4 linked regions of the Drosophila melanogaster genome follow. The protein of the gene in region 1 interacts with the protein of each later gene in a pairwise test. Each region holds a gene or a part of one and is shown on either strand. Other genes may lie near its edges. The genes, in order: CG5445, salto, CG9173 and CG34396.

Region 1 (4,859 bases):
TTTTTTTTAATATGTGATCAATGAGAACATTGATGACTAATGCTATACCGTGCACCTCTTATGTTCGCCAATGAAATTATCGTTTCCTGGAAACAATCAGACGTATTGTAGATATGAAAGGCGAATAAGTTAATGCTAAGCGTGTATAAATCCTTATCGATACGGTCCCCTCTATGAGACGATTTTCGTATTTCGAACCTTCCATCTAATCGGCCAGCTTATCAGATATGGCGCTTCTCACGTGGCTAGCAAATCAAATCGTAGGGCACTTCAATGAAGTCAACTGACTTTTGTCCAGCGATGATGACGACGTAAGACTTGCGGTGAAGCAAACTATGTCATTCATGGGAATCCGTATGTGAAATACGAATCGAATGACCGGCGATTGTAATTGAAACTTGTGAAAATGGTGTGATTAAAGGCCACCGTGCATTTAATCTGCAAATCGCCCTGAGGCAGAAGAGTATAAACAATTTGGCTTGAGTTGGTAGACTTGTCAAAACAGATTTAAATTTAAATATTTTCAATTATTTTATCTTTACCATAATTTTGATAAGTTATAAACTTAAGCCCAAAAGTAGGCAAATACATTTTAATATGTGAAAGTAAAGCTTTGTATGCAGGTAAGTCAGCCCATAAGTATGATTTAAAATCGAACTGTAATTCGATTTGTTGTTATAGCGTTATCAATTGGGTTTTTTGTATTTTATAGATAAATTCGGTGTCCAAATGATCAATTGGCTTAATGCGTTATCAGAGCACCAATGTGACTGGCTCAAGTTCAATATAGTCTTAACCGCTTTTCTTAACACAAAAAAGGTATGCAAAAAACTAGGATATATAAATATCATCAGTACGTATACTACCAATATAATATAATATCCGTGCAATCCTAACATTTAGCTCTAATAATAGAGTTATGAACCTAGATATCTATTATATTTCTGTTTGTACAAGACCTACCTGACCACTAAAGGGTTAAAAAACCAAGCGATATAAAAGGGCCGAATCGGAAACGGTTTTCATAGTTGCTTATAAACAACGACAGCATGAAGTATACCATTCTTATTTTGGCTTTGGGCCTGTTTTGCGTAAGTTTTGCAATGAAAAATACAAATTATTTGCGCAATGGTAGCAAATATTTAAATTCCAGGTAAATGCATTGGTGGCTCCTGTTCCCAGCGCCCTGGACTCTTCGTCAGAACTGGACGATGTGACCGATGGTAGCTTGGAGGTGGAGGACTTTGGCGTGCTGAGTACGACCTACAAATCCCTAAAGATCGCTCTGCGAAGCATCAAGGGACTCAATTGCATAATCAAGTGGGTGGCGGGCATCAAGGACAGTGCGACCCAATTTAACACGGACGTGGTCGTGTGCGGCGTCACCGCCAGCAAGGATGTGACCAAATTGATCAACGCCAACAATAAGATCCTCAGCACTTGCAACGACCTCATCAATCTGAGGTCCAACACTTGCCCCCAAACGGACGACGAGGAGACGAAGGTCTCTGGCAGCTGCTTTGTTAAGACTCTGCGCAAGGTGTGGTCCCTAAAGAAGCAAGTGGACAATGCCATCAAGCTGGCCAAGAAGATCCCGCAAACCGGTCCCAATGCCGTCGCCTGTGTCTCCGATGCCGTCAACACCCTGACCACCTACTACACCGCCTTTCCCCAGAACATCATCAGCTGCTCCAAGCTGACTTCTTAGGGGTTTAGTGCCCGCAATTGATTCGAGCATTCAATAAAAATCCGTGTTATCACAGTTTTTGCTAGTTATTTAATTTTGTTAGAGGAGAGAAAGCCTTTTTATTACTATTCGTAACTAAATTTTTATAACCGTTACTCGTAAAGTAAAAGGAAGCGTTTTCATATAGTCTTGATTAGGATCAATAGCCGAGTCGATCTGGTATATCGTATATATGATATTTTTTATATTTTTATTAGTCTTGCGAATTTCCATCGATTTGCAAAAAGTATTAAGTGGAATATAACAAGTTGCTCTATAACATACCTATATTTGTATATTTGTACAATTTATACAATTTTTAGTCAGAGTAAATTAATAGTAATTCAATTATAATACAAATTTATATTTTATTGAGTACAGAATAGTTAGATAATTGTTTAGTTACTGTTAACCAAATGTCTGCACCCCTAAACGAAAACCAGTGCGAGTGTACTTTCTATCACTATTGAATATTGATAAAAATGGAAGTGTGACAAAAACAATATCTCAACAGATATGATCACCTTAACCTAGGGCCATGAGACAGGTTTGAAGATAAAAGGCTCTCTCTTTGGTATAATTAGTTTTTTAATATACTCGATACTTCTTTTACTGTAATGCTCATGCTTATTTATAAATTAGATTTAAGCCACTTTAAATATTAAAAAGCTGTCACTCAGACGTTGACAACGTAGATAGGTGACTTTTCCAAGGGTTTTGTTTTGTTAAATAAAATACCCATTGATTTCTTTGAGCGATTATGCATCGAATGCATCGCGTCGATATATGGGAGTGCTTGCGGTGGGTGGTGTCGGACTTACCTGAGGAATCCCTGTCCAATCTGGACAATCTGGCTATATGACTATCTCGCTATCTTCCTTTGTGTGTCCACGCTGCATAGATAATGTCAAATTAGTTTCGGACTTTGTGTGGTGGTTTAATTAAAGCATACATATCGCCGGCACATTGGTTTTCCAAAGTGTATGTGCAAATCGAACCTCCGAATCGCCACTTAACTGATATGGCTCCGGCCAATCGTCTATATAAACAAACCCCACGGATCGGTCAGCAAACATTCGCCAGTGAAACCATCCACCAGTAACATGAAAGTACTCAACGTCTGCCTCTTGGTCGTGGCCTCTGCCAGCTTCCTTCTGGCCACAGCGAACGTAAGTCAGACAACCTTATGAAGAACTACTAGCAAATACAGTCAAGTGCCATCGTTATTAGAGTTTGAAAAAAATCCGAAAAGTGCAGCAAACAAAGATTTAATGAACAGAATCGTCGCTTAAAGCAAATATATTTTGTTCAATTTTTTTTCCGAAGTGCTTTTAAAACGTGTGCTACTTGAAGTCAAATATTTTGACAGTTATTCCAAAATCGAATCGTATTCCTAACTTGTTTTAGGCCAGTGCCGTAGGTGCTTTCGAGGACTTCGAGCCCTACACCGATGCCGAGCTTAAGGATCTCTACGCCGCCGAGTTGATGGCAATGGAGGATGAGTTCATGGGCGTCGAGCAGTTCGGCTTCATTGGATCGTGCCGCAAGATTCTGTGGGCCGGATACAAGGGCATCAACGGCACCAAGTGCATCGTCGAGGAGGTGGCCAATGTGCTGCTCACCTGCACCAACTACGTAGACGACCTGAGCACCTGCACCGGCGATATTCCCAAGGATATCCAGGCCATGCTGAACAATGTCAAGCAAATGATCATCACCAGCAACAAGATCATCAACATGAAGTCCGAGCTGTGCGCCTCCACCTCCAGGAGCGTCGTCTCCTCCACCAAGAGCTTCATGCGTTGCACCCTGAAGGCCTTCTACGCCACCATGTCCCTTGTCCGCCGCATGAACACATTGATCAAGCAGGGCGCAGCCCTGCCCTTCAACACCTCTTCCTGCTACGTCGATGCCACCAAGAAGGTGGTCGACGGCTGCAACGCCTTTGTGCCCAACATCAATACCTGCATAGCCAGCATGACATAAGTTGGTAATAAAACCATGAAATTATGAGCAAAGCAGATGCTTTCTTCCTGATTTGGGAGTTCGGGGTGTGACAACATATCTTATACACCTTTCTAGCCTGTATAGTGTCTCAGATCACGAGATACCGACGGACCGACAAACATGGCTTTTTTTTGCTGTTTCAAACTTTTAAACGAATGTGACACATACAGAGCTTTGGAAATCGATGTGCTCATTATTACTAACTGACTTATTTGACTTTAACCACCTTCAACCTTATGTTCTATACCCATAAAAAAGGATGTTATATGTTCAAAAATCTTAATTCTATTGCCAATAGACAGACTTCCTGGATATTCTGTACTCGATGATTCAAATGATGGGCGCCAGCGGTATCAATGGGTCTGGACTCCAACAAAAGCAACAAATAGAATATGAAGGGAGTAAACACGTTACTCGTAGAGTAAAAAGGTATACTAGATTCGTTGAAAATGTATTGGTCTCCGACCATGTCAAGTATACAATACGTCGATACGTTCCGACCAAAATTCCTTAGCCACACCGAGTTGGTTAGCGCGGTGGCTGGAAATTTTAGGTATAAAAATTGATTTACAAAATTAAGAAAAACTTACCACACCGCCAACGGCAAAGGAAAACATGGGGCCCACGATGCCACGCCCACTCTACCGCCCACAAGCCGCCTAAAACTGCCACGCCCACACTTTTGATCAATTTTTCTTATTTTATTTTCCAATTCCTATCGATATCCCAGAAAAATAATAAAATTTCGCGCTCGCATTCACACTAGCTGAGACACGGTTATATAATTATCGGGGAACTCGACTAAAGCATTCTCTCTTTTGTTTTAAATTATATATATGTATTTATTGTTTCATTCGTTCGCTTTTTCATTCATAGATGTGTTGTATGTATTCGTGTATTTATATTATTAAAAGTAATATTGTTTGAGCCGCGTATATAAAAACAAATAACAATAAAAAATGCTTAACCAATCAATTAAATTAATTCCAGTACTAAATAAATTCAAGCCAAGTCACAAAAAAAAATGTCAAAAAATAGAGAGTATAAGTGATTAAAATACAAAACCGAAATAGAACTTAAGCACAGCAGCTAAGATTAGATATATACGTTTGATTCGCCTTGAGAT
Region 2 (6,009 bases), on another chromosome or scaffold:
TCTGCCGTCTTATCATAATTGGCCGGGATCAAGGTACATACATAAAGCCAAAGTTTGTGGGACCAATTTCATTATTTTATTCTTTTTATCTCACTCAAAAACGCACTATTTGATCTGCAACCAGCACCACACATTCATTAAACTTATGGGTACCTTTTATGGAACACACACAATCTGGACTACTAAAAACCCCAACCGTTCTTAACGAGCTTCTTGATGCGACTAAACGACATGTACCAGATAATCTACTAGGAAACCTACGGAATCCACGCAGCGGCAAAAACTGAGTTTGAAAATCTGAGAGTATGCGTGCTTTCACGATTTTTATAACGAAAAAGCATGCATACTTCCTGAATAACCAGTATTTTTAAATATTTAAATGCAAAAGAACGCATAAATGTATCTGCAACTTCGACCCTGCCCTAAAAATCCAAATCATCTCAATTAATTGTGCCAGTTTCAGATTCTTAAACCAATCGAAGCTAGTCGATTGATCAAACCGCCGCCCTAAACGAGACTTAACCAGATTTCTGCCATTACTTTTTACATATGTATGGGTACAAAAAACAATGCCATTTGGCCAACGGTTACAACAAATTTGGTTTGTTCATCTTAAGAATTTCCATGCTAAGCGTTCTCCTTTGGGATGTGTTGGGTTGGGTTGATATTTGGGTTGGGTTCTTGTAGTTCAAATTGGATGTTTAACGCTGGTCTTGGGATCGCTGGTGTCTTCGCAATCGCAGAGGAGGGTGGCAGGGAATTTGCGACTTTTTGTGGACGCGCAGGATCTGTAGGACGAATATTTGGATGTTGTAGTTGATAGCGCAAGCGCACTAAATGGCGGGGCGAATTAAGCCGTCGAGCAGTTGATGCTGCAGTGGCTCAAAGATGCGACCACGTGGTTGGGACATCTCCTGCTCTTGCAGATTGGGCTCCTGCAGAGTGGCGTCTTGCAGATTGAGCTCCTGCAGAGTGGCGTCTTGCAGATTGGGCTCCTGCAGAGTGGCGTCTTGCAGATTAGGTTCCTGCAGATTGGGCTCCTGCAGAATGGCGTCTTGCAGATTGGGTTCCTGCAGATTGGGCTCTTGCAGATTGGGTTCTTGCAGATTGGGTTCCTGCAGAGTGTCGTCTTGCAGATTGGGCTCCTGCAGATTGGGTTCCTGCAGATTGGGCTCTTGCAGATTGGGCTCTTGCAGAAACTTGCAGGAAGAGTCCACACGCACAGGGTGGCCACCGCTTCTAATGCTCTCCATTTCGCCAGCCGGCAGAACTTCAAAAAAATGTTCACCCATATTGCCAACTATTAGTTTGGCATAATTACGGCTAGAACCATTTAATACTTTTATTTGTCTTTCCAAGCATAAAGCTCGCCGCTTTGCTATCACTTACTCAAATATTTTGGAAACTGGTCCAGTTGATATTAGGACTTCAATTGACATTTACCTCATTCAACGGTACATGGCCCTAATGTTATTGAATATCTACCACGGGATTTGTGTAAATTATAGCAAGCTGGCGAACTTTTACTCAAACTCGTATTGAACTTACAGGGCGTTTTTGAGATGTTTGATTTCCTCCTCCATCGTGGCATTCCGCTCGTCCTGATTGGCTCGCAACAATGATACCCGCGAATTCTGCTCCTTTAACAACTTGATGATATGCTCCTGCCTCCTCACTTCCCTTTGTTTGTGCGTGAGGGTCCCGTAGAGATTATAGAACTCCTCCTCCTTCGAACTCAGCTTGTTGTTTACCTGCGGGAGGAAGAAGGATAAGCATAAGCGAGGCTAGCCACATCCTTTTTCGGCGGACCTGATTGATAAGCGTTTCTTTCTCGCTAACTTGATAGTACATTTGGTCTAGTTTGGTGCGGCTATCCTCCTCATTCTTCTGCAGTGTTGCGATCAATTCGCTGCGAGCGTTCAGCAACTTCTGATCGATAACCATTTGCTCGCGCATCTTGGACACTTCCTTGCGCAGCTGCACTTCGAGCTTGGATTGCATCTCCAATTTGGCATTGGTAACACTTAGGGTCTCCCTTAGATCGCTGGTTATCCAAGCAAGAGATATGTTAATCAATATACATAATCTATGATACTGTTAACCAAGCAGTTTACCTTATCTGCTGTAGAGCTTCCTTATAGTTTCCACCCAGCTCTTCAAAGTCGGCATGCTGCTTTATTGTATTGGCCACCTGTTTGTTCATGACCTTCTTATGCTGCTCGAGACTTTGCAGCTGCAGTTTCAAATCGGCAATGATCAAATCCTTTTCTTTAACTCCCGCGTCCATGGCATCTGGACGCTGTTCCAGATGGACAATGAGCTCACGGGCCTCCTTCAGTTCGCCCTCCAGGTAATCGATGTGTTTCAAGTTCTTATCGACGGAATTTCGAGCCCGCTCCAGACCTTTGTCCGCCTCTTCCAGACGCTTAACCATTTGCTCTTTTCTAGATACGATATAAGGAAAGATCTGTAAGAACCATCATCTGCCGAGATGACCAGTTAACTTACACAGTCTTGAGCTTGGCTACCTCGGAGCGCAGTACCTCGATGGTGGAATCCTCGGTCAATAGCTTGGAATTGTTCTCGGCCAATCGAATGGACTGCTCACTGAGCATATCCTCGCTTCGCCGCAGGCTCTTTCTCAGCTCTACAATGATCTGATCTCGACTGGCCAGCTCCTGTTTCAGCTTGGCATCGAGCTCGATCCGCAACTGGTTCATCTGTTCAGTGTGCTCCTTCTGGGCGTCAAAATAACGAACCTCCATGGCCTGTTTCTGGGAACGCAACTCGGACATCTCGCGATAGAGACTTTTGTTGGGTGACTCTTGTTTGGAGCATGCACCGCACAACTGTTCGATCTCCTCGACGATTAAATTCATTTTTTCTTCCTGGAGACACAATAAAATAGTTTCACATTGCTAGTGCATCATAGCGGTTGCACAAAAACATACCACTAGGTTAGACAACTTTTTTTGAGTTTCCTCACGCTTTTCACTAGCCTCGAGATCATTTTTAGCCCTCTGAATTCTTGGTATATGGTCGTAGATTAACAAAACCCCCTGATCTACAATCGCACGACACCTGGTTTTCAAGTCATTCATACTTTCGGCGGCTAGAAAATAAAAGTATGCAATTGTAAGCGAAAGAAGGATAATTCAAGGATAACAATTCATTCAATCGAAGACGTAAAATCAAAACGAACTTACGAATACTCTTGGGCAATCGAAGTAGATCATCATGGTGGACCACAAGCTTGCATTCATCGTTTACAGTCAGACCCACAAACTTGAAGACCCCTTGATTCCGGAGCTCCGAACCCATTAACCGGATCTTGTGCATAAACTCGGACTGCAGGTTCTCCAGTTTTTTTTTCTGCGTATCAAAGACCCGCATCCGGTTCATCTCCAGGACACGGCGATGCGACATCTTTTCAGGCTTCTTTACATTTTGATAAGGTTCTGTGGACGGCAATAATCAGAGAATTGGACCACGTTTCAAATATTCGCGATACCCACCGCATGTCGTTGACTTAACCAATTGTGCTGACTGGGCATGCGTCTTTATGGGAACCACGTTCCGCTTGGGGGGATTCAACTCATCGATATCAGTTTTCCGATCGGGCTCAACTACTTTATGCTCGGGCTCGACCCGTCGATTGGGCAACGAATACGTACTGACACACGGGCGCGCTTTCGTCGAAGAAGTAACCCGTTCCAGAGAAGTTTTTCGCGAATGGATAGACGACCGACTCGCTCCACGCCTATTTGGAATGTGACTGAGCCTACCTTTGTTTGGGCTTCCGTCGCCATTCTGGGTGGGAGGAGTAGAGAAGACGCCACCACAAGAAGAAGTGCGAGACTGGGACGGGGATGTAAAGCATTTGAAAAAACTAAACCCTTTTCTTCTATCTCACTCACCCATGTAGCTTTGTCTGAGGCTTGCTTTTCCGCCTTTCCAGCTGTCCTCAGCAAGAATGCTTTGTTACCTAACAAGGATAACGAGCATTTGAAGCACACATTCGTATAGCGTTCAAGGTACATGTACTTACTACGAACTGAACGCGGCGTCACGCTGGAAGAATTCATATCTAAAGTTTCGGAAATCAACGCTTTTTTGTAAACGATTTTTGTGTTCAAAATGAGGAAAAAATAGTATAGAAAATTTGTTTCTAAATATTTCCAGTTGAACTACGTCTAGTGTAAATGGTACAAAAATGCTTTCTGACCAATCCAAACGAGGTGGTTCGTGGAAGTAACATGAATTCAAACTCAGAGCACACTTGTTCAGTTCCAATGTACCCGGTGTTTTTGGGGTCTGTTTGTTTAGAATGAGCGTATGAAAACTAATGGTTTCTATCAACAAATGCGAATCTGCAAAAGAAGCGGAAACTAAGCTAAATGGGAGGGAAAAGTAGAGAGCAGTTTTTCCCTCTCTGAGGTTCTCCATGTAATCCATTCGTCGGTCCCGAATGATGCACATCGTCCATCCAATAATCGACTCGGCGAAATTTGCATTCAGTTGCTGTTCGTGCGTCCACCGAGTAAGTTCTTAGTTCGGATTTCCCTCTAAAAGCATATATTTCGAGATTGTTTCATTTACGATCCATCAATACTGAGTAACAAGAGTATGAAAAAACAATCTGTACCACCTTGCTATTAGTTTATTTTCTCAAAATAACTTAATCAACTGGATTAACATACATGATGTGCTAGTGAAAGTGGGTGCTACAATATAAGTGCAGTACTGAGGTGAAGAAGCCCTAAAAGTGACTTTAATGATTTAGATCCATGGGAAATGGACGTTTGTCACCCCCTTGTATTCGAATTCGCTGTAGACAGTCGGCGCGTTTTTCAATTGAATTTAATCAGTGACGTAGACGGTCTATATAGTACAGACTATATATTGTATATACGCAATGCGATCCGATTTTCAAGGGGTAAACAACCAACAACCCGCCTAGTTCAAGTTCCGCATGGCAATTGAGCTGGCATAATTTGGATCTCAAAGGAAATGGAAAGTGTCTGCGAAAATAGCAATATGCACTATGTGTGACATCACGCAAAGTCATTCAATTGAAGGCTATTTCTACGAATTCAAGTTCAGTTTGAAACTGGAAGTAGGCTCCATTGGTTGCCATTGACATTCGATACCAATGCGGATAATTAAGACAATTAAGTGCTGGCCAGAAATAGTTTTTTCCCCCACAACCACGTGGCTGCATCAAATGATTGTAAATTTGTATTCCCACTCAATTTTGCATTGCAGCTCTTTGAAATGAAAGCTCTGGAAGGTTTCACTATTCTTCTCGCATTAGTGGGTGTTATTCCCCGGATCGAGGGCTGCATTAGGGTCCCACCGGGAGTCACAGCAGCCAAGTCACCGGTGGATGATAACTATGTGCTGTCCGTAAACGGAAATACGCAGAGTTATGTGCCCGGTCAAAGGTATAATGGTGAGTGCATTAAATTAAGCATTAAATTAAATTAAATTTACAAATTTCTAGATTTTTCTTTCAATTCTCTAATCTTTCGCTGCTCGTTTTCAGTTAGCCTCAGTGCATTTTCTGGCTTGTCCTTCATTAGCTTTATGCTGGCCCTGGATTTGGAGAGTGGTGACGGCGATGGTGACGCCAATGCCCTGGGCACCTGGGAGATCGCCGATCTCGCCGAGACCCGTTTCAGTCCGCGCTGCCCAAATCTTGTCGAGAATACCAACACGAACGTGAAGACACGCGTGGATGTGTTCTGGGTGGCTCCATCGAGTCCGGGACAGGGCTGCATCCTGCTGAGGGCTACGGTGATGCAGCATCGAGATGTGTGGTTCATGGATGATGGCTTCCTTACCAAGCGTATGTGCGAGGAGGAGGTGGACGACATTGACACCCAGCCCAGCATCGTGGATCCGTGCTGTGCCTGTGACGAGGCCAAATATGAGGTGGGACTCTTTTAACTCATTATTGAAATGGTATTAACACCTCCTTACTTCAGCTTACCTTCGAAGGCAAGTGGT
Region 3 (4,646 bases), on another chromosome or scaffold:
GGATCTCGATAGCCTACCACTCCTCCTAAACGGGTCGTTGGGGTCGGGGGCACTGCCCCCCCCTGTTCTGTCCATCAGATATAAAAGGGGGACTTTGGCTTGTTGGTCCCCAGCGCTCCGTGGGAAATAGAACTAGCTTCAGTTCTTAGGTTATATTTCAAATTTTTGTTCAACTTAATTAGTTCAAATTTGAATTTGAATTCGAATTTCGCGCCCAACGAGCGCGCGGCCGAATGACGATCGCACCGCTGATCTGGCAACGCCAGTCTAACCAGCTCGTCGACTGCGAAAGGTTGGCAATGCTATCAGCTGTATTGTCTGATGCAGCTGATCTGATTTATTACCAGTTTACTGGATCACTCGTGAATTCCGGAACGACACCGTGACGCTCAGAAACGCGGCGCAAACCCCAGAGTGGATTTGCAGGTTTATGTTGCAGTTTACGGCTGACCGGACTCGTATATGACGAAATTCGCGCAGCGCAGCAAAAAGACGTGCGAAATACGCGGGACAATGGATGTGTGTGTGTGTGTGTGTGTGTCTATGTGGAAGGTAAACACATGTCTACTTTGAGGCACAGCAAAAAAAAAAAAATATATATGCAAGTGTCGATGATTTAAGTACATTTATAAGTAGTACGAGCAAAATACGAAATCTATAGCTAGATTGCTTCTTACAACTAAAATCAAGTTTATATCTCAAGGATGTGATATTGTAAGAGAATAGAATACGATTTTTCCCAGTGTGACTTCATCTTCAGCTTATTCCTACCCATCTTGGAGCTGCTGCCATTCATTAATCCACATAGAAATGCCAATGGCAGAGTGAGATGTTGATGGTGAGCTGGTACAGATGGAGATGGAGATGGTGAGGTGATGGTGACCAAAGCGAATGCAAACGAAGGCGGCTGAGGCGGCACAACAACAAAGCGGCCAAGAGGCCTATTAGCCACAATAAAGAGGCAGCCTCACCCCCTTTCGAAATCCCCAATGCTCATACCCCTGGAAATTCTATTATGCAGATGAATGGATGGATATGGGACTAACCATCCGACTGCCTAACTGACTGGGTGTTTGTGTGTTTGCCCCGCCAGATGCCATTACAATGTAAACCCAACAAAAGTTCATTCGGTGGACTTGATGCGGGCATGGATGCGGAGACGTCTTCATCTCATCCACGTACTTCTTCTCCACATATCCGAGGCAGCAGCACTTCCAGCCACCGCAGCGGAACAATTGATCAAATATCATAATTTATCAAATGACAATGCAACAGGCGGCGGCCTCTGAACGTTTACGTTCCCGTATTTGCTTGCCCCAATCCCCACACCAAAGACACCGATCTCCAATTCCCAAATCCCCCCAATCCATTCGAAAGCTACAACTTAATTTATTTGAACAATTTAGGTCTGACACAACAGCCATCGTTTGGCTCTGTCGTGTTCTTTGCGCTTATTTATTTCGATGGTCAGTCGGCTCGAATCTATTTAGCATAATTGCAGCTACGATCAGAACCGAGACCCGAGTCCCGAGATAAAATAATGCATTCTTGTGTGGGGTCTGTGTGTAATCCTAGATAGGGCCACCAGTGGGTCAGATAACCAAATTAAAACAGGCTAGGGAAAATATTGGGACAAACCGATTATTGTTCTATTATGGTAAACTTAGCCATGGCATTAGTTCCAATCGAAATGGGAAGTGCATTCTTCATCGAAGATTGTGCATTCAAATCAAATTGTGTGTCAAGTTTGCTCACAAATTGGTAGGTTTATGGATGCCAGATAGGTTGACAATACTTTTGTATTGGTTAGTTTATGAGCTTTCTTTTCATGGAATAGCCAAAGAATTCGATACAGTAGTCTGCGACTATATGGTCCATCAGAAATCTGTGTATAGCATCTACAATTTTTGTGTTTTGTCAAAAGTGAAATTTAAAGTGATACGTTTGCTGTCTCCTTACTTCATCAACAACCAAATTGCAATGGACAATTATGAGAGGGCCAGAAAACTGCAGGAGGAGGCGGGAGTTCCTCCTGGGGGAATCAAGCGGTGCTGCTGCAACTGCAGGAGAAAGCTGGATCCCTACCAACTGTTTGACGATAATGTGGAGGATATAGCCAAGAGCCTGGCGCAGATAATGCTGATCTGTGGCATCAGCACAAGCAAATCCAGCGCTGCCAGGTCGATAATTAAGAGGGCTTTCGTTTACCATGAACGACTGCGCACCAATTGTCCACCAAATCCGGCTACTGACAGTCGCTTGAATCGGGAGGACCTGCTCCAGGCTCTGCGACTGAAGTGCGAAATGGAACCGGTGGAGGCGATGCTCACCTATGCCATCATCAAGCGGGCCTTTAAGGCCTTCTATCACGGCAAGCCACCGGTGACGATCAGCAATCCCATAGTGGATGCGATGGCGGTGCACACCCAATATGCTGCTTGGATGCATGCGGCGCACAAGACATCCAGGATCTTCGACAACTACAAGGCGGCCTTCTTTTGGGCCCACAAGCACTACGAGAGGCAGATCAATCTGGTTTATGCAGCGCTGTATCAACGGATGACTACCAGATCGGATCCCCTCCTGGTGCCGGGCTGTCCTTGCAAGGGCTGTTCCAAGCAGGAAGTTCCCGGACATCCCAAGGCCGGCCAAAGGCAAATGATGAAGATCAAGCTGTCGGAGGGTGCAGATCTACCAGAACCCTGCATCATCTGTGGCTTGCAAGTTCCGCAAATGGATAAGGAGGTCAGGATGAAGAAGCCACCGCGTCCGATCATCAACCATGAGGTTAATCTACCCAGATGCCAGCAGTGCAATTCGCCCTTCCTCATCTGCGAATGCAACATCGATCAGTTGACGGGCGAGCAGTTTGGCGAATGCGGCCAAGACTCCTACAAGGTGAAGTGGTATCGTCTGGAGGAACCAGTGGCCATTTCCCAACCTGTTTCCCAACCGCTTGGCGAAGAGGAGCAAGATACCAGCTATGATGAAGCTGTGGAACCCCCAGAGGACTGGGACAATCACCATTGTCCCATCGACTGCAAGCACGACTCCTGCAGCGAGTCCTCGAATGTTTGCCACAGCACTTCTTCATCTGCATCTTCGGGCAGTGATTTTGCCACCTGTTCCGACGGCGTGGACAAAGAGGAGGATGTTGTGGCCAAGCTGGAGGATTATCTCAACAAACTGTGGGCCGAGGAGGTGGCTCAGAAGAGGAATCCATCGTATGTGCCGCGAACGATTCATCCTCCTGGTCCGAAGTGTATGAAGTGCAACGACTAATTTTGTACGTTTAAATTTTGGCTATATAAATTATTGAGTGATGAAAAGAGAGCTATTGTTGACCCTTAATAGCCAGAAACAAGTAGTCTAAGTACAGAACGTGTTTTCTCACCTCTGCTACCAAGTTTGGTTCAACGAGCTGCCACCATGCCACCATGCCACCATCCGGGCCACCCACTCCCACACCTGGGGAATCGATCGCCCACACGGGAGCCGGCGCTTATCACACGCCCACAGATCGCGTCTTGACAATGGCCACTTAAAATGCCATTGCCGGTTGTAATCGCCACTAAATTGCTGGCACCTCGGCTTATTCGCGGCTGGAGGACGGAATGGGACGTGGCATTCGATGGGATGGAGCTACTGTTGTCATCGCCGGCTGCTCCGCCCAGCAGCTCCCAGGAGCTTCCACATAAATCGCTGCCTTTATCTAAGCACTTGCATCTCGCGCTGGAACAGAGGCTCCTCCAAGCTGCACCACCAGGATGGTGCGGATCCGCGGATTCGGGCCTGTTCACGCTCCTCGCCGCTTATCAATCTCAGCTCATCTGCACGCAGAACAGAACAGAACCGAACTAAACCAAACTGCAACTAAATGGGCAAAAAGAACCCAAGTCGAAGAACATCTTCTGCGAAAAATAATTCCGCAACTTGTCACATTTTGTAAGATTCAAAGTCGCAGAGACAGGCACTAAACTGCAGACGCCTCTGCGCCAGGGATTCTGGGATGGGCCTGCAATGAAAGGAGTCCTTGACTGTCGGGATTTAACTATTTTTATAGGGTATTCGTAGATAAAGGGGCATACTCGAATGTTAACAGCTACATAAATATAATAATTATTAATGGCAACATATTGATCTTAATTTTATAGATGGTTTATTATTGGTTTAGATTTAAAACTTTGACTTTTTATCATTATCATTCCTGTAGTCGAATCACCCGTGTTTACCCTACATATTTTTGGCTAGGCCTAGACTTCACCCTCGAATTGCCGCCTGCATCTCCATCTGCCTGTCGCTGTGGCATGTTAAACTGGAGTCACATTTGCATATAGATTTATTTTTATGTCCACTGCCTTCGGATGGCTCGTGAACTATTTATGTGTGACGACGATCCAATCGCTTGGGGGAGCGATCTTTGGATGGATCCGCGATCGGTTCTTGCCCAAGAGTTGTGCCATTAAGCGATGCCCATTAAATGTTTGGAAATATTGGAATATCTCTAGATAATGCCACGTCTTGCCAAATTTCTAATTATGATATGCTCACATTGAGTTTCTCTATTAGCCCAGTTTTGATGCGTCTATGTCTGTCTTCCCATTCCAAAAAATTTTTTTTTTTGCTTCGGCATGTGTGTGGTAAAC
Region 4 (6,034 bases), on another chromosome or scaffold:
TGTAAATTTGTAGGAAATTTATTTTAGTATCATTTATGGTACAATATTCGATTGATTGGTCAGCGAACAATACCCAAATGATGAGGTTTTGCTTAGAAACTATTTGGACATGTACAACAATTGGATTGTACACTTCTTTAAATGTTTTGATTAGGATCTGATACTGAAAACTACCACCGACCCCGACCACCGCCGCCGCCGCCACCGCCTCCTCGTCCTCTGTTAAAACCGCCGCCGCCGCCACCTCCTCCATTGCGACCAGCACCTCCTCGGAATCCGCCTCCACCTCGTCCGCCGCCACCACCGCGACCACCTGTTGATAAACACAAGTTAGGACTTTGGGGTGCACTCATGAAATTCACTATCTTACCTCCTCCGCGGCCGCCACCTCGGCCTCCAAATCCACCGCCACCGCCGCCTCCACCTCGGTTATTTGTGAAGGCTTTCTTGGCGCCTTTTGGTTGTGGAGGTTTCGGCAGAAATCTGGCGATGGGTAACAGCTTTCCAGGGTCGATAAACAGTTTCTGATTTGGCTTGAAGCTGTTGGCGTAGACGTTGTCCGACAGCTTGATGGACACGCTGTAGTCCCGAACTGTTCCAAAGATTTCGTCGATTTTGCCTACTTGCTCCTTGTTTTCAAGGAAAATGGGCGCGTTGAAGTAGGGAACATCCTGAATATCAACTTTGCACACAAGGTCGTTTTGGCAGGAGTAAACATAGTTGCCCAAGGGGATGACTCTCTCTGGTGGACCTACAATTAAAAAAATAAGATATATTATTAAAGTGACAAAATGGAAATGAGTATTTGGCAATTTGCCTGAACATAGCAAGCATTTAAGACAGCGTATACCTATAGGAGACTTCCAGATGTGTTTTTAGCTAATATATTTATATATATAGCCCATGATTATAGCCTACAACGGCTTGGCTATTCAAAATTTGAGAGAACAACGTGGTTATTGTAATTCTATTCGCACAATCTGTATTAACTGCTTGTTTTAAGTGACGTAGTTAGCCTTAGTTCACAGGCTAGCTTAGTTTGGATGATTAGTTATAGGAATAGTTGGCGACTTTCATTCACTTACCAGTGTCGAAGGCTCCACGGCCGCCACCACGTCCACCTCCACCTCGACCGAATCCGCCGCCACCTCCGCGTCCTCCGCCACCTCCTCGTCCACCTCCACCTCCACCAAATCCTCGTCCTCCTCCGCCTCCGCCTCCACCGAAGCCTCTTCCGCCGCCGCCACCGCCGCCACGAGGTTTACCAAATCCCATTTTCAAATATTATTAAAATTGAACGCAAAAACACGTGCGCGTTCCGATCAACCAAAATATTTAGAGACGGAAGAAATTCAAATTTCGTTATCGACTTATCGATAGCCACGGCCATGTGTTTCAGTATATACGGTTGTATATTATACGGTCACACTAGGCACAAGGGGCGGATTTTTTGAAACTTCTATTTCAATAAAATTATTTAAAACTATTTTTAACAATCGACCTGATTATTAATTTCTTAGTCTTTTTTTTTAAAAACAGTTATTTTTTTATGCATATGAATAGTTTTAATGAAGATCGTTTAACTAAGACAAATTCCTGGTGCTTTTTTTATAAGCATTAAATATTCACTAAGAGAACATAAAACATTGAGTAAGAGAGAATCATCAAAAACATCATCGGATGCATTATAGATATATATATATATAGATATCTATAGCCGAACAGCTGTTGAGACATCTACCAAAAATATAGACAAGCAAAGTGAAAATGAATATTTGAATTTTCTCCAACTGCTGAGAGCAGTTGGATGCCAGCCGTGGACGAGGAAGCGAGAAATAGAAGCTAAATCTATTCGATCGTGTCGCGACGTCGAAAGAAGCAGATACATAAAATTCTATATGCAAATAGATAATATAGCAAAATAATTTCAAAAATTTTCGGACAAGTGCAGACTTTAAAAGTTTCAGAAAGTGCACAATACATACATATAATACGAAATTGCAATCGAAAGTGATATAATTACCCGAGGCATATTTTCATATGTGGAATATGAACGCCTCGTTGGGCAGTTAAAAATAGATTAATAGATGGCTAAATGACGAGCACGAGCACAAAGATAGATCGCGAAAGTAGCACACGACTGCGGCTGGACAAGATGGAGCAGCCGATGGACGCCAGGCAGCAGCAGCGCCATCGAAGGCGCCTGGGTCGCAGCCACCGGGAACCGACGCCCGTCACTGGAGACGCCCTGCCCCAGGACGATGCCAGTCCGGATGCCCTCCCTGATCCATCACCTCAGATGGTGCGCATGCAGATCAGGCCACCCGGCTCGATGTCCGCCCACGAGAGCAAGATCCTGCGAAAGCGGGACAAGTCCTTCGCCAGCTCCTCGGCGCGTAGTCAATCGCAGCCACGGGAGGCTGAGAAGCTGAGTAGTCCGGATGCCAATCATCTGATCAAGCATCGCAGCCTCTCCTCGCCGCGGCACAAGGAGGAGTCCAGCGAGAGTGAGCTGACCACCGGCAGCAGTAGTCAGCAGCAAAGGCCCATTCCTAATCTTGGCCAGACACAGGATACGCTAAGCAGATTGGAGCAGAATCTGCAGCGCTTCGAGGACGAACGACGGCGTTTCGAGGCCGAGAAGAGGCTCTTTGAGCGCGAGAAGCGGGAGCACAAGATGCGCCATCGCCAGCAGCTGGACAACGAGGAGCGCAAGCGCCTCCTGCAGAGCTACCGCAAGCTCAGCGATCGCATCCAGCTGCCGCAGGACGAGGAGGAACGGCGCCGCCTCATCCACAGCCTGCGTCTGCAGCGACACGAGGCGCCCAAGACTCGGGGTCGCAATCGAAGTAGCGGCTACGATGAGTCCTCCACCCAGTTCAGCTCCTCCGATGCCGATGCGACGGAGGAGACTCACCCGCGGCCCCGAGCACCTAAGATTCCCCAGGGCTTTGTGGCAGCCCCAATCCGCGGCGCACCTCCACCGCCGCCATCGGCGTCGACAGCTCCAAAACCACCGGAAAGGCTGTCTGTGAGTCGCAACAACTCCCTGTCGCCCGTGAGACCACAGCGACGATCCAAGACTCCGGAGCAACGGGAGGAGATCCTCCGGAAGCACGAGTACTTGGAGGTGGGCGAGTCCAGAGACGAGGTGATAAAGCCCCGCATCTCGGAGGCAGAACAGCAGTCGGAGCTGATGCAAAAGTACATGGAGGCCGCTGAGCGGGCGGCAAAAGCGGAGGCCGCCCTGGCGGAGCAAATCCTGACGGCGGAGGGAGTGCGTCGCAGTCACAGCTTGAGATTAGCGGATAAGGAAGAGAAGCCTCAAAAGCGCAGCTCCAGTTTGGAGCGTCCACTAAGACCCAAGCGATCGGGCAGTTTGGAAAGAAAGGAACAGGTAACTCAAGAGCTCCTTGAGGGAACTACTACAAATGAAGCTGATACGGAACCAAAATCTCTTGGGGATCAACCCTTGTTGCCAGAGGAATCCATCTCAGAGGCGAAACCCAAAGTTACCTTATGGCAGCGGCTGAAAAATCTGTTTAGGCGAAAGAAGAAGATTCAGGCAAAGGGCGAAGATGTCACAGATCTGTCCACAGAATTGCCACTGGAGAAGTTGGCCTCCAGGGGTCTGCTGTACAGTTTCAGCCTAGAAGCCCGGCATGAATGGAAACGCCTCAAGCTGGACTATCCCCAAAAGGTGAAGGAACTGCGTCAGCTACGCAACAGGTGCATTGCCTATCTCATCTGCATGGCTATGCTTCTGGGATTCGGAGGACTCCTGTTCCGGTACACGGAAGGAGCAGCGGAGAATATATACAAGTGCGAGGTGCGCAAGGTGAAGCGGGATTTCATAGACCGACTGTGGGACGTCAGCCACAACATGAGGTAGTACCAATGGTGCCAAGTGGTAGCCCAGTTCTGTGAGTGATTCATTTGTATCTTTGCCAGAGAGGAGGACTGGAAGTCTCTTGCCCGCCAGAAGCTGCGCAGCTTCGAGGATGAACTAAATAATTTAGCCGAGTTGGGACTACGCCGCTATCCGGGCCAAAAGTCCTGGAACTTTGTCAATTGCTTCATCTTCTGTTGGACCGTGATCACAACTATAGGTAATGGGTTACAATGGACCCATAACCATCCAAAACTCCTAAATCCTTTCGTTAGTTCTTATATATGAGCATATTTCCATTTTAGGTTCTTTTTTTAGTTAGTCATATTTAACTTATTAACTCCCATGCCTTCTTCTCTTCCTTTCCAGGTTACGGCCACATCACTCCAAAGACGGGCATGGGTCGATCCCTGACCATCGTCTATGCCATCATCGGCATCCCCATGTTCCTGATCGTGCTGGCCGATCTGGGCAAGTTATTCACGCGCTGCGTCAAGTTCCTGTGGGTGTATGTGCGACGGATGTACTACACGCGCTCCTGCCGCCGGATACGAAAGCAGCAGCAGATCCGGAGCGCCATGACAGGCTTCAATACGATGTACGACATGGCCATCCGCAGGCCGAGCATGTTCTTCAGCAACTCTGCGCCAGAGAACGATGAGGAGTCGCAGGCGGATGCCGAGGCCGCAAGATCGGTGGGCACCTCGCACCCGGAGACACCCACATCACCCTATCCAGAGACCTTCGAGGTGGACGACGAGTTCAATTTGCCAGTGTCGGTGGCCTCGCTGCTGCTCATTACGTACATCCTCCTAGGATCCTTCGGCTTTCTAATGATGGAGCCCAGCTGGACTCCACTGGATGCCTTCTACTACGTGTTCATCTCGATGTCCACAATTGGGTTCGGCGACCTGGTGCCCAGTAATCCCTTCTACGTAATGGTCAGCATGATCTATCTGATGTTCGGCTTGGCCCTGACCTCCATGTTCATCAATGTGGTGCAGATCAAGCTGAGCGATCACTTCAAAATGGCCAGCGCCAAAGTGGGCGCCACCATTGGCATGAACATGACCAGCGAGCTTGGTGATGAGGGCGGCTCCCAGGTGAAGACTCCCTCCGAGCTTGCCTCGGTGCACGGTTCGCGACTGGACAGGATCGAGGAGGATGGCCAGGAGGCGAATGGCAATGGCCACTCCCCGGTGCCACCACTCACCTCGATCCTGCGCGCACCGCGTCCTCTATCGCCGGCGTCCAATGGAGTGGATGCTAATGGAGTTGGAGCCGATGCTGTTGGAGCTGGGGATGTTACTCCGCCACCTCTGCTGCCCAGGCGTCAGGTTTCCGTGGATCCCCAGCCGCCGGCGGAGGGGGAGAACAAGAAGAAGAAAAAGCACAGGTTTTTCTAGAATCCCTGGGATCTTCCGCCTCCAAACAAAAAAAAAACCGACAAAGTTAACGTGTAAGAAACCTCAAAAATGACAAGGCAATTTCAATCGAATTTACCGTAACGCGAAACTCTATATTCATTTATTTGTTATTTAATTTTACTCACCATCATCGTAGCATAAGTCTAATGTTAATGAAATAAAGCGCGCGAGTTGACAACGCAAATTGATGTTTTTAATTGTTGTAAATTCCGCTTAAGGATCATAATCATAAAGTTGTATAATTTTTCAACACTCTATTATCCTGTTATCAGCGTGGTTTTTTGCTCAATCCGGAATCGAATTGCCAGATGCGTATGCTTTGTACGGGAATGCATCCCAAAATCCCAGTAACAGGGAGTCGGGGGCGCGAATCCAAATGCAGTCGCAGTCGGCAGCTGCACATCTGTCGCTCGTAGGAAATGGAAGAGGAAGCAGCCACAGGAGGCGTTGTGCGGAGAGAGAGAGAGAGAGGGAGAGAGGGAGAGACCCATTCCCATTGAGAGCGAGTTGTGGTTCTCTCTGCCTCTCTTTCGCTGACACACGACAGGATGGCATGCTTCGCACTCCTGCTTCGGCTGGCATTCGTGTGCATGTTCCGTTTCCATTCCGTTCCGCTACGAGCACTTCGCCTGAGTTGACGGCTTCTGTTGGACGCCCAGTTGTTGTTTTGGCAGCGTGCGGTTCGGTCGACGGGTTACATCGCCTTCTCTCCTCTACC

Evidence for each region.
Region 2: the proteins of CG5445 (region 1) and salto interact in a two-hybrid assay, tested with the Drosophila melanogaster proteins (one large-scale study listed by BioGRID).
Region 3: the proteins of CG5445 (region 1) and CG9173 interact in a two-hybrid assay, tested with the Drosophila melanogaster proteins (one large-scale study listed by BioGRID).
Region 4: the proteins of CG5445 (region 1) and CG34396 interact in a two-hybrid assay, tested with the Drosophila melanogaster proteins (one large-scale study listed by BioGRID).

What each region holds. Positions count from the first base shown.
Region 1 is NC_004354.4:17,280,664-17,285,522, reverse strand, and holds the start of CG5445 (uncharacterized protein), read right to left. Parts: upstream 3,028-4,859; 5' UTR 2,896-3,027; coding exon of another isoform or gene 2,830-2,895; 5' UTR 2,679-2,829; intron 2,620-2,678; 5' UTR 2,548-2,619; intron 1,762-2,547; exon of another isoform or gene 1,709-1,761; coding exon of another isoform or gene 1,154-1,708; intron 1,092-1,153; coding exon of another isoform or gene 1,050-1,091; exon of another isoform or gene 1,023-1,049; intron 1-1,022. Other genes in the region: CG8661 (uncharacterized protein), read left to right, coding at 1,050-1,091, 1,154-1,708; CG8664 (uncharacterized protein), read left to right, coding at 2,830-2,895, 3,134-3,712.
Region 2 is NT_033778.4:12,302,014-12,308,022, forward strand, and holds salto (salto), read right to left. Parts: upstream 4,257-6,009; 5' UTR 4,086-4,256; coding exon 4,049-4,085; intron 3,986-4,048; coding exon 3,918-3,985; intron 3,859-3,917; coding exon 3,516-3,858; intron 3,459-3,515; coding exon 3,207-3,458; intron 3,113-3,206; coding exon 2,952-3,112; intron 2,889-2,951; coding exon 2,509-2,888; intron 2,445-2,508; coding exon 2,115-2,444; intron 2,045-2,114; coding exon 1,810-2,044; intron 1,752-1,809; coding exon 1,549-1,751; intron 1,482-1,548; coding exon of another isoform or gene 1,445-1,481; exon of another isoform or gene 1,390-1,444; intron 1,324-1,389; coding exon 834-1,323; 3' UTR 531-833; downstream 1-530. Other genes in the region: CG17739 (uncharacterized protein), read left to right, coding at 5,275-5,452, 5,546-5,934, 5,988-6,009.
Region 3 is NT_037436.4:1,420,697-1,425,342, reverse strand, and holds CG9173 (uncharacterized protein), read left to right. Parts: upstream 1-1,871; 5' UTR 1,872-1,980; coding exon 1,981-3,282; 3' UTR 3,283-4,144; downstream 4,145-4,646.
Region 4 is NT_033778.4:21,095,957-21,101,990, forward strand, and holds CG34396 (uncharacterized protein), read left to right. Parts: upstream 1-1,801; 5' UTR 1,802-2,155; coding exon 2,156-3,888; intron 3,889-3,951; coding exon 3,952-4,109; intron 4,110-4,258; coding exon 4,259-5,295; 3' UTR 5,296-5,497; downstream 5,498-6,034. Other genes in the region: Gar1 ribonucleoprotein, read right to left, coding at 171-313, 371-751, 1,086-1,275.